Linked DNA regions of Ovis aries. The protein of the gene in region 1 interacts with the protein of each later gene in a biochemical or structural test. Links are inferred from orthologs where the notes say so. Each region holds a gene or a part of one and is shown on either strand. Other genes may lie near its edges.

Evidence for each region.
Region 2: of the proteins of AURKA (region 1) and OTUD7B, one has a biochemical effect on the other in vitro, tested with the Homo sapiens proteins (2 studies listed by BioGRID, with this or other methods). The link is inferred for Ovis aries from reciprocal best matches to the Homo sapiens genes AURKA and OTUD7B.
Region 3: the proteins of AURKA (region 1) and INCENP form a complex in vitro, tested with the Homo sapiens proteins (3 studies listed by BioGRID and IntAct, with this or other methods). The link is inferred for Ovis aries from reciprocal best matches to the Homo sapiens genes AURKA and INCENP.

Annotation. Positions count from the first base shown.
Region 1 is NC_056066.1:59,223,880-59,227,392, reverse strand, and holds part of AURKA (aurora kinase A), read right to left. Parts: intron 2,495-3,513; coding exon 2,346-2,494; intron 242-2,345; coding exon 67-241; intron 1-66. UniProt on the Homo sapiens protein: Mitotic serine/threonine kinase that contributes to the regulation of cell cycle progression.
Region 2 is NC_056054.1:100,104,080-100,108,303, reverse strand, and holds the start of OTUD7B (OTU domain-containing protein 7B), read left to right. Parts: upstream 1-1,416; 5' UTR 1,417-1,691; intron 1,692-4,224. UniProt on the Homo sapiens protein: Negative regulator of the non-canonical NF-kappa-B pathway that acts by mediating deubiquitination of TRAF3, an inhibitor of the NF-kappa-B pathway, thereby acting as a negative regulator of B-cell responses.
Region 3 is NC_056074.1:37,157,010-37,160,969, reverse strand, and holds the start of INCENP (inner centromere protein), read right to left. Parts: upstream 2,809-3,960; 5' UTR 2,686-2,808; intron 1-2,685. UniProt on the Homo sapiens protein: Component of the chromosomal passenger complex (CPC), a complex that acts as a key regulator of mitosis.

The sequences.
Region 1 (3,513 bases):
ATAGCCTCCTGTCAAGGCTGATAAGGAATTCTAACAACGACGGGTCCCTCTGTAGTGAGGCCTTACCCGTGATATTCTTCTGTAGGTCTCCTGGTATGTGTCTGCCTCAAAAGGAGGCTTCCCGACGAGGAACTCATAGCAAAGCACCCCAAGGCTCCAGAGGTCCACTTTCTCGTCGTGCATCCGGCCCTCAATCATCTCAGGGGGCAGGTAGTCCAGCGTGCCGCAGAGGGTGGTCCTCCTGAAAATACAGGCAGGCTCGGGTTGACGTGCTACTGTTTCTATTATCATGACAGCTGCTCAAAGGCACCAACCATTCCACTAACCCTGAGCGCTTTTCCTAGGCTAGCTCCTGTGCTACAAAGCAGGTGCTATTATAAACCCATTTTTAGATGGGGTGCTGTACCAGACCTCACAGTTAGCAATCATGTGGCACCCCAAATATGTCTAATTCCAGAACTTCCTTAAATGATATATAAGATTTAAAGTATCACCACTATAAAACTGTGTGAACAACTAGGGAAATTTGAACATGGACTAAATAGTAGATATTAACAAGACTAGGTTTCTTAGGTGTGATAATGGCTGTGATTATACAGGACAATGTCCTTAGCCTACTTACTGAAGCACTCAAAGGATGAAGCATGCTGTCTGTCACTTATTTTTTGAAGGTTAACCAAAACGTAGACACACTCAATGTGGTAAAATGTTAACAACTATTGGGAGTATAGGCACTGGATAGGCAGGTGATCAATTCAGCGTGTCTGTTTTTATAACAGAGGTTGGAAACAGACATCAAAACAGGAGCAAAGGCTAGGCAGATTTTGCTGCCTTGTACCAGTTACTCTTTGGTGCCACTGGTGCCTGGCAAGTGCACAAATGTTCGCTCACCTAAAGGAGCTGCCACCGCAGACTCCTAGCCTCTCACCACTGGATTCGGGAGAAGGCCCAGATCAAGAGCCTTGGAAGACAGCACAGTAACCTGAGAGCTCTTACAGCGAACCAGCTATGGGAAGCCGGGCCAAGTGACCAACATTTTATATGATATCCTCTTTAGAAAAGGATCAGCTAGCTTTCCTGTCGTGAGGACACCACTGGGCGGGCCAAGGTCCAGCTTAGCCCTGTGATCATACAGCCATTGCTGTTTGCCTCACCAGAGGCCAACAGCTCCCACTTGTGACAACCAGATTTTTTTCTCCCCTAAACAAAAAGAGACTGCAACAGCAGATTCAGTGCCTTGCTGGAAACAATTAGGAGTGATCTATATCAAAAACAAATCTCACACTCAACAGCATCCATTTGGGACTATACAGTTTTTTAAACTGGCTTTAAAGTAATCTGGTTACAATTTTTTAAAGACCTACCCCAAAGCTGACAAACTCTTAGCAGTAGATGTATGCTTTTAATTGCCCTACTTCACACATGGTTTCAAAAGCTCATTGAAACCCAACCTAAAAACAGGAGAAAATGTTTTAGCTCTGTTTGCAAAGTTCACTTAAATTGTTTCATAGGTTGGTCTCTCTGCTTTAAGAGGAGATAGGAAAGGACTGCTCTGTTGACAGAAGCAGACCAAAGAATCTTTACCCACCAGTCTGAAAGCTCCATCCAAACTAGTTTGGTTCCTTTAAGCTCCCAGTTCTAGAGCTCTGCAGGTGCTGCCCTCAGAACTCATAGAACTCGTGTCTCCTGGCCCTGGAGGCAGTGGAGTTTGCCTCCCCGTCAGTCAGGTGTTGTTCCCCCTCTACACACCGCATTTCATTCTGTGATACACTTGTCATATCTTTTACCTATTTGTCCCCTTCACTGGCCTCTAAGGATAGTATGCATCTTTAACCCCAGGTTGCTGCTGCTGTTAAGTTGCTTCAGTCGTGTCCGACTCTGTGCAACCCTATAGATGGCAGCCCACCAGCATTCTCCATCCCTGGGATTCTCCAGGCAAGAATACTGGAGTGGCTTGCCATTTCCTTCTCCAATGCATGAAAGTGAAAAGTCAAAGCGAAGTCGCTCAGTCAGGTCTGACTCTTAGCGACCTCATGGACTGCAGCCTACCAGGCTCCTCTGTCCATGGGATTTTCCAGGCAAGAGTACTGGAGTGGGGTGCCATTGCCTTCTCCGTAACCCCAGGATAAACATCCACAAATGGCTGCATAGTAAAAATGTTCTTGAAGACACTAGTTTCCTGCCAGGCCTAAATTACTCCAAAGCATGTATGTCAGTTACCTGACCCAACCGCCCACAACATCTATGCTTACATTTACTTACAGTAAATATTTTACTATTTAGCTCATTAGCCCCTAGGCTTTTACTAAACCAAACAAACAAGTTCCATCTCTGAAGTTATATACCTGGAGGATGGGGCATGTACCGACCACCCAAAATCGGCGATCTTAAGCTCTCCAGCTGATCCAAGGAGCAGGTTCTCTGGCTTAATGTCTCTGTGAATAACTCTCTTTGAATGACAGTAAGACAAGGCATTTGCCAATTCTGTGATATACTATTAAAACAAAAAGTATTGGAAATCCGTTTTAGATTTATATAACACAATTTTAGACATCTCTTCAGAAAGGAAACTCAACATAGATTTTAACATGTTCTGTAGATTTGAAAGCAAAAACTAGAGACAGTGGATGACTCTAGAAGAAAACAAACCAATTTAGTGTTCAGTGTGAAGTACAAGTGACTCTGTGCTAGGTTATCTGCTCACACAGCAGGTGCGACGCCGAAAGACAGCAGAACACCAAGGTACCACTACATCCCCACCTGGCAATTTATGGCCCAGAAGCCATGAATTATGACAATATTGAAAAACTGGTACAAATGAGGGAGTCGGGCCTGTAAACAATTTTTAAAATTCTTAAAAAAGAAAAACTTTATAGTCCATCCCCATTTTTAAAACTAAGGCAAAATTACAACAAAAGGGTTTGTTTGAAGCTATAAACTTAAGCAAGCCCAGGATTGGCTTTAACATGTAAATGAGAATTGTTTTCTAATATATTGAATATATTTAGTTCTGACTGACGTTTGAGAAGCGTTGGTTTCTCAAAAAGTAATTCTAAATAGGACTGAACATTATGTTATGCCAAAAAGGTTTACCAAATGAAGGGGTACAAACCAGATGTTATTGTCAGAAAGGACATTTTTCATTGCTTTCAGCCAAAAGGCAGAGACCAAAATTTAGACCATAAACTTAAATAAACCATAAATAAACTGAAAGCAAAGGTAAAGAAAGCTCGTCTCTTGCACCAAAGTGGGTGATGCTCGAAGAGGATACGGTAGGATTCCAGATGACAATGGGCTGCCCCTGCTCAAACCCGGCAGGAACCAGCGCTCTCTGCATCCACCCCCTCCACATACCCACATTAAGATTATGGATTATGTGTAAAGGTCCCTAACACTTCTCCAGAACTAGTTTTAATTAATCAGGAAAGAAAAACAGGTGTGTGTGTGTGTGTGTGTGTGTGCGCACGCACACGCGCACGTATAAACTACTAGGGAATCTAGAAAGAACCAATC
Region 2 (4,224 bases), on another chromosome or scaffold:
GGATGAGATGGCTGGATGGCATCACTGACTCGATGGACGTGAGTTTGAGGGAACTCCGGGAGTTGGTGATGGACAGGGAGGCCTGGCGTGCTGCAATTCATGGGGTCGCAAAGAGTCAGACATGACCGAGCAACTGAACTGAACTGAACTGAACTGAAATGGGCACAACATTTTGAAAATGCAAACCAGTTGCCAGGATGTTAGGAATCTGAATTAAAATTCAGCATTTCTTTGGTCAGATTATAGTAGGGGGTGGCCCTATTTTGTGTTTGTCATAAAGAGATTGTTATTAAACAGCTCTTCTTATTTAAAACAGTCAACGTTTGTCTAATATTTTATTCACTCAACAAATGTGAAAGTCTGCTCTGTGCCAGGCAAGGCTTATGTTCTCATAGCCACAGGTCCTCCTACCTCACACAGCACTTAACGTGAGTTCTGCTTTATATAATATGGGCTTATCTGGTGGCTCAGATGGTAAAGAATCTGCCTGCAACTCGGTTCGATCCCTGGGTGGAGAAGATTCCCCTGGAGGAGGGGATGGCTACTCACTTGCCTGAAGCGTTCCATGGACAGAGGGACCTGGTGAGCTACAGTCCATGGCATTACAAAAAGCTGGACATCACTGAGCGACTAACACTTTCACTTTATCTGTTTTACCAAAGTGTAAGGCCCTTGATGCCTGGAATTATGTCTTATACGTTTTTGTGATCCCAATATCAATGAGCACAATGCCTTGTACACAGTAGGGACTCAATATTTGTGAATTGAACTATGCGATAGCATAGTTGTTGTTAAAAGGAGTTACCAAAAAAGCACAACATAACTTGTTTTGACTGCACTCTCTAAAGTAGATATAATTGTTGTGCAAGTAAATAAATATTGAGTGTTTATAGAGAAAAGCATGTTCACTACAGGAGTGAAGGAGAGAGAGTGCATAAATGGGTGGAGACTGATCTGGAAGAAGCGTTGTTATTTTTCCTCAGGTCAGTCCAGAATGATCGTGTAGGGTAACTAGAATTTCAGTCTTCTGGTTCTCAGAGAATTTTCATCCCTCTCACCTTTCTAGAACTACCCCGCCTCTTTCTGCTTCTTCCCAAAGGGCTGTGTCCAACTGACTACACCTCAAAGTCTCAAGAGTCCACCCAGTACCCACCTAGCTCCGGCTCAAGAACTCTCCAGACCAGGGACTTTAGGAACACCCGCCAGGAAAACACGGGTTCAGGAGCGGGGCAAGCACCAAACTGGTCACAGCGCGGGGAGCGGCGCTCAGGGCGGGGCTGTTACGGGGCGGGGCCGGGCCGGGCCGGGCCGGGCGGGGCGGGCGGGAGGAGGCTCGGGGGGCCGCTTGGGTGTCACCACCAACCAGCTCCGGCCGGAAACTGGCGCTTGTTTCCGGCCGGACGGCCGAAAACCACCGATCCTGAACCAGCAGCCCAGAGTCCGAGTGGCGACCGAGTGCGGAGCAGGCAAAAAGCCACTGGGGAAGCCAGTCCAGATCAGTCCTATCTGGCTCCAGCTCCTGATCCTGTGCGGAGCAGCAGCCGCGGTCTCAGTCTCAGCCAACGCCTCCGCCTCCATCGTCGACGGGGGAGGGGCCGGCCGGACCCCTGGGTCACAGCCGAGGAATGAGGAGAGGCAGCCGGGCCCCGCGCTCCGCCCCGGCCTAGGGCCTTGCCCCAGGAGCCGCGAGGGTAACGGAGCCCCCGCATTGTCACCCTCCCCCGTCTGTTCCCGCCCCTCCCGCCTCTTCAGACTCCCAAACTCTGACCCTCTGGTCGCCACTGTCCCTCTTCTCCTTTCTGATTGTGTTTCACGCGGAGCCGTCTCCTTTCGGCACCCCCTCCTCGCCCTGACTGCTCCTTGCTTGGTTCCAACCTTTCTCCCGTTACTCCTCCCTTTCACCTGCGTCCCACCTTCCCAGCCCCCCTTCCCCGTTCGTGGCCTCCCTTCCTCAACTGTGCTGGGCAGTTTGGACGGTTCTCCTTGTCAGCTAGACTTTCGGGGAGGGATGGTGGAATTTTAAGGTGGCTAGGAGTGCCGGCTACTACTCTCATAGTACGATAAAGTTCATTTTAAAGTCTCGAAAGTAAAATGAGCAGAAACCAAACTGTTCTGCCATATCGGTAGTTAAACTGAGGTGCGTCCAGTAATGGAGGAAGGGAGCGAAAAAGAAGTGTGTATACGAGAAAGAGAGTGATAGAGAGATAGATTGATTTTATGGCAGGCTTATGAACTTTGGAAAAAAAAAAAAGTTGCCATGAGCCGATGGAAACTTTAGAAGCTGATGATGAGTAAGCCGGGAGCTGCGTGATCTCACTCCTCTTCTCATAATTACTAGGTTAACGGTGTGGCTCCGGTCGGGATGGAATGGGATTTGTTTACTGGGCCGGCGTATTTTTAGCTTGTCAGCTCACAAGGACCAGCGCTCTGAGTCTCCCCCCTCTCTGTCTCTCTTCCTCTCTCTTTTTCTCACCCTTCTCTCTCTCTGTGTTTAGGTAGTCTCTGGAACCTAGGTGGCTTCTCTGGGCACAATAAATATAAAAATTAAACTAAAATAGATTTTATATAAGAGATTCTCCCCAACTCTTCAGGGAGTTTTCATGAATGCAAAGGCAAAAATTAGTTGACTTGTAGTTCATATATGTATAAATCCTTTTATAAAATCAGAAACGGGTAATTGTTTAGTCTTTGACTTATCGTACTGTATATTTAGATGTTAGAGGACGCTGGAACCCTTTGTCTTTCAACCTATTTCTAAAGTGAGAAAGGACAGAGGGAAGAAGTAGCAGGAAGGTGGGTCCATAAGGGTAGCTAGTCTTAAATCTTTTAAAAACATTTTTTATACTACTTAACTTTAAAAGAGAGAAGATTTCCTTCCTAATCAACGAGGTTGTATTCTTGACGGAGAAGACAGTAGGGACTTATGCTGGGTGGCTAGGGAGAATCAGACTTGTAATTAAACATTTGCTGTGCATAATTTACAAATGAATACATTATGGGCAAACAATTATACTCTTTGTCCTCATTGTTTTTCCCAGCCTTTCTTTTAAAGGTTAATAACCAACCTGCTGTGCTAGTCTATTGATATTTTGAAGGCTGGACAGAACTGTAAAGTAAATTGATGTTGTTCACGGGGAAGCCGAGTACCAGTCTGTTCTAATTTCCACTAGCTACCCGGCATGCCTCGGAGCACCTCCCTAAGTTGGTGGCCAGTTACTATGTACTTGGAGATTACAAATGAATACACGTATTAGGTCATGCTAGGAGTAATTGAGAAGTTAAACGTACTGAAAAGATTTTCCAAAACTGAAATAGATTCTTTTTCGATTTTTTCCATTTTGGATTATCAGCACCTTTCTACCGATAATCATCCATTAACATGAATGAATAGAATTGAACAGATACCCGCTTTGGACAGCATGCACTGAAGCAGGAAGGAAAGAAGGAAAATAGTTTCCAAACTACTGTCATTTTTGTTGTTGTTGTTGCCTACTTTGGCTTATCCCTTTCCTTTAATGTCAAAGACTTCCTTGTGAAAAAAAAGTAAACCTTTACCAAAGAAAGGTCTGTATACTGACTTGTATAAGGCAGGCTGACCAGTAATGGATGTTAATTATTGGTTGGACTTTGATGTAGTTATGTTGCCAGAAACTTGGAAATTTTCCTGACACTTTTTCCCCTTAATCTTTTTCTTTGGGGCTCCTATTGAAAATGTTTTAGTTTGGAGGGAATATCTAATTTTTCAAAATTACACACACTGTTCCAGAGTCTGTTGACTATCAATAATTGTTTTAATTTGTGAGTTAGTTGGTGTCATTATTAGTGATGATATCTAGCACATTCAGCTTATATCTGTATTTAGCAACTTGCCCCAGTTGAACTACTTGTATTATTCCCAGGGTTGGGGTTAGGGGTAGGGATTGAAATGGTGAATAAAATCCTATAATAAGTGTAGGGCAACCCAATAGCCCATCACTATTTTCAGTTCTCAGAAGGCTTTGTTTGGAATTTTGAGTTTCAGTATATGTTACTAAGTGAATTATGATGGAATAACTCAGTATTAAAAATAAGTTTTCAGGTTGTTATGGGGCCACTTGTTAAAGTTTTAGAGCTCCTGAATGTCTCAAGCATGCTAAGTATGCTGGAAGAGGACATTGTAAGGGAGCACTTTTTCTCCTTACCCCAGACACTCATCCCATCAGGGAAAAAAATCCTGAAACAATG
Region 3 (3,960 bases), on another chromosome or scaffold:
TCAGGTCAAAGAACATCAAATCCAACTGCTCCTTATGGACGCTAGTAAATGACAGATCTGCATTCCAAAGGAGTGGGTAAGAAAGTGGTGGTCCAGAGACAGGCTCTTCTCTAGGGGGCCCCTATAACTCTCTCCCTTGAACAGAAACGCCTTCGGATGGATGAGGGAGCATGAGGGAAACGGATAAGCAATGTCTTCTTTTTTAGAAAACTTAGTCTAGAAATATCAGGCAGTATAAAATACAAAATTAGTTTTCCCTTAATTTTTTAAAAATAGTTTTTATTGACGTATAGCTGCTTTTAGTTTCAGATGCGTGGCAAAGTGATTCAGTTTACAGATACATATATATCTATTCTTTTTTATTACAGGTTATTAAAAGTTACTGAGTAGAGTTCCCTGGGCTATACAGTAGGTTCTTGTTGGTTATCTATTTTGTATATCATAGTGTGTATATTTTAACCCCAAGCTCCTAATTTATCTCTTCCCCCCTTTCCCCTTTGGTAACCATAAGCTTGCTTTCTATGTCTTAATTTCTTAAGAAACTAGCCACTCAAACAAAAACAAACAACTAGAAACTCAGATATTCTCCTCAAAATTCAGTTATAAAATTATCACCAAAGCCCCAAGCAAGGAAGAAGTGTTCTATTGTGGTTCATAGCAGGGGCTCAATAAACATCCTGACTGGGGCAATGAATGAAAGAATGAATTAATAGGTGACAGTCACAAGCCATAATAACAGACTGCGTGTCTCACGCCATGGCAGTGACCACCACCCGATCAACACCTTCAAAACCAGGAACCATCCACAGCTCAGCCTCTACCTGAGACAGGAAGTTCTGGAAGGAGGGGCTAAGTCACTGACCCCTATAAAGGGCTTAACGCCAGGTGCTGTTGCAGCCTCACAGGATTGCCTTCCTGGAGCCTGATTTCCAGGGCACACTGGCCTCTGTTCCTCGAGCAAGCTCTGCCCTCTGCCTGGAACCTTCTGTCTCCTATTTGGTACAGCTCACTCCTCAGCACTTGGCTCTCAGCAATGCAGGGAGGACCTGACTACCAGCCACCATCCTATCCATCAATTTCAATACTCTGCACAACACTCAGGTAACGATGTATCTGCTTCCTGACTACCTGTCTCTGCCCACTAAGCATTTGTTCCCTGAGGGCAAGCCCTGATCTGTCTTGCTCGTAGCTTTGAAGCCCAGAGCTTGGCAGCATGCCTGGCACAAAAGGAACACCTGTTGAATGAACAGATCCATCTATCAAATGTACACCTAGAAATAAACATTCTACAGACACTCTAACTCCCTCCCCAAAGACACACACACACAGGGACACCAAATGAGGCCATTCTACACAGGTCAGAGCACGCCTTTCTCATCCAAAGCCCTACTCCGAGGAGCTAAGAGCAGCACCCGTCAGGGCAGGACCAACTGGGCAGGACCGCGGAGGCTTTGGGCAGAGACAGGTGTGCAGATTCCAGTCACAGCACAGCCTCCTGGCTGCCATCCCTCTGACTCCCCCCAGTCCCTCTGTCCCAGCGTTCAGTCCTGGCTAACGACAGGAATCCAGTTTGAGGCTAGGAGAGACCTGTTTAAGGAACACAAAACAATTTGTGCTATGGAGAGCAACAATTTGCTCTTTTATTTAAAAAAGTAAATGGCAAAGTGGGTCAGGGCTTCTTACACAAAGTGCAAAGAAGTGTTTGAGCTTCTTCCATAAGGAGGTTTGTTTTCAGCAGCCTCAGCCTATTTAAAAAGGGTCACTGTCATTAGATCAGAGATGACCCTGAGAAAGGAGATCAGTGTTAAGAATGAGGGTCTGGGGAAAGGCGATAAAAATCTTTTCAGTCCCCTATAAGAACCTGGATACAAACCCAAAGCACCTTACGTCCCACCAAGGGTGAAGGAGGCTCATCTTCCTCTCCCAATACTTTTCTCACGTCATACATTAAGAGCCCCACGGCCCTCCTTCACAATGACTGTTCTTTTGAGGGTGTGGGAAGACCACCAGATAACCCTGACCACACCTCAGTGAAGAAGCTCGTAATAGCTACTTTCTGTAAAGAGACCTGCTCCATGCTCGGGTGGAGCATCATCTCATTTCATTCTCGCCACAACCTCAAGGAGATTCTGGTGCAGATGAGCAAATTGAGGCAGACTGAAGTCTTACCCAAGTCTTCGGGTAAGTCAAGGGAGGGGCCCGGATTTAAACCGTGCTCTTAACCTCAGCTTTGCCGCCTACTCCATTTCAACTTCGGAAAGGTTGGCGCTAAGTTCTGACTGGGCGCCCCAGGGAAGGCCACTGTCAGTAAACGGGCCGGGGGAGTGACAAGTCAGCACTGGCCTCCGGAAACGGGTCAATTTAAAATGCTGCTCAGCCGATAAGGGAGGTGGTGAGCCAGGGTTAACTGTACAGAAATGCCATCTGGTACAATGCCGCCAAACACCCAGTCGGTGGGTGCTTCCTGAGCGTCCAGGTCAATAAAAGGCGCCTGGAGGGGGAAGGGTGGGGTCATCTTGGGCCCCAGGACCAAGGCAGGGCACCTCGTCACTTGGAAGAGGTGACCCATCCCCTGCAGGCCGCAACGGGGGATAAGGGAGGTCATGACCCCCGGTCCAGGGCTGGCGGAGGGATAACAAATTGCTAACGACACCCCAGCCCCGCCAGCCGCCCGCGCAGACTCACTCGACTGCACCGCGTCTCCTTAACTGCTGCTCCGATCCAAGTCCGGCGACCCCCCCAACACAAATCCCAGCCTGCCCAAGCCCCACGGCTCCCGGCCTCCAAGGCTTGCGGCTGCAGTGAACCAACGGGGCGGTACAGCGCGGGCCAAACCTACGATTTTCAAAACTGAAGGTTCGACCAATCCCCGTCAAGTTTGTCTGGGCGGCTGCAAAACTCTAAGCCAATCAAGTAAAAGGAAGCACCAGTCAGCCCATCGATTGGCTCTGTGGATTGGCACTCTGCGGGACTAAGAATAGGGGAGAGGAAGCGTTGAAACTTTAACCTGTACAGCTTCCGGGAACAGCGGCGCGCGGCCTGGAGAGGAGATCTCCCGAGGTGGGAGTTGCGCGCGCAAGGTCTCACACGCAAGAACTACAAGTCCCAGCGTGCATTGCGAGTGCCCTGAGGGACCTGGGAGATAGGTGAGGCCTTAGTGCCTCTTCACTGCCGTTTCTTCACCCAACTCTGTCCTCAATACGGGCCGAGCTCAGCCATTTTACAGAAATAATATAGACGATGATGTTTCTTAATGATTTCAACTTAAACTTACAAAGCAAGACAGCAAAATTTATAATAGAGCGAAATTGGGGGGAGGGAAAAAAAAAATGATAATAATAGAGCGAAATTGTTTCCATAACAGTTAACACTGTCTGAGTCACAAGTAAAGCCAAATTGCTTGTATGTTTTCCATGCTGTCAAAGGTTAAAGTAAGAATCCAGATTTCCATTTCAGCACAAATCGCCAACCTCAAACTGCAGTTCCAGCATACTTTTTCAGACTTTGATGCAAATACAGAGGACATTTCCATTATTTCATAATCCATTTAACCCTGTTATTCAGGACTTGCCACTTAATCTCCAACTGGAAGTCATTAATCTGTAACGCGATGACCTGCTAAAAGGCAAATATCAAGAGAAGAAGCCAACAGTTCTACACATACATTTCTGGTGATAGTTAAGTCGCCAAGTCGTGTTGGACTCTCCTGAGACTCCATGGACTATAGCCGACTCTGTGGACTGTAGCTCACCAGGCTCCTCTGTCCATGGGATTCTGCAGGCAAGAATATTGGAGTGGGTTGCCATTTCCTTCTCCAGGGGACATTCCCCACCCAGTGATTGAACCCTGGTCTGCCAGCATTGAAGGCAGATTCCTTACTGACTGAGCAACTCAGTTCAGTTCAGTCGCGTCTGACTCTTTGTGACCCCGTGGACTGCAGCACGCCAGGCCTTCCTGTCC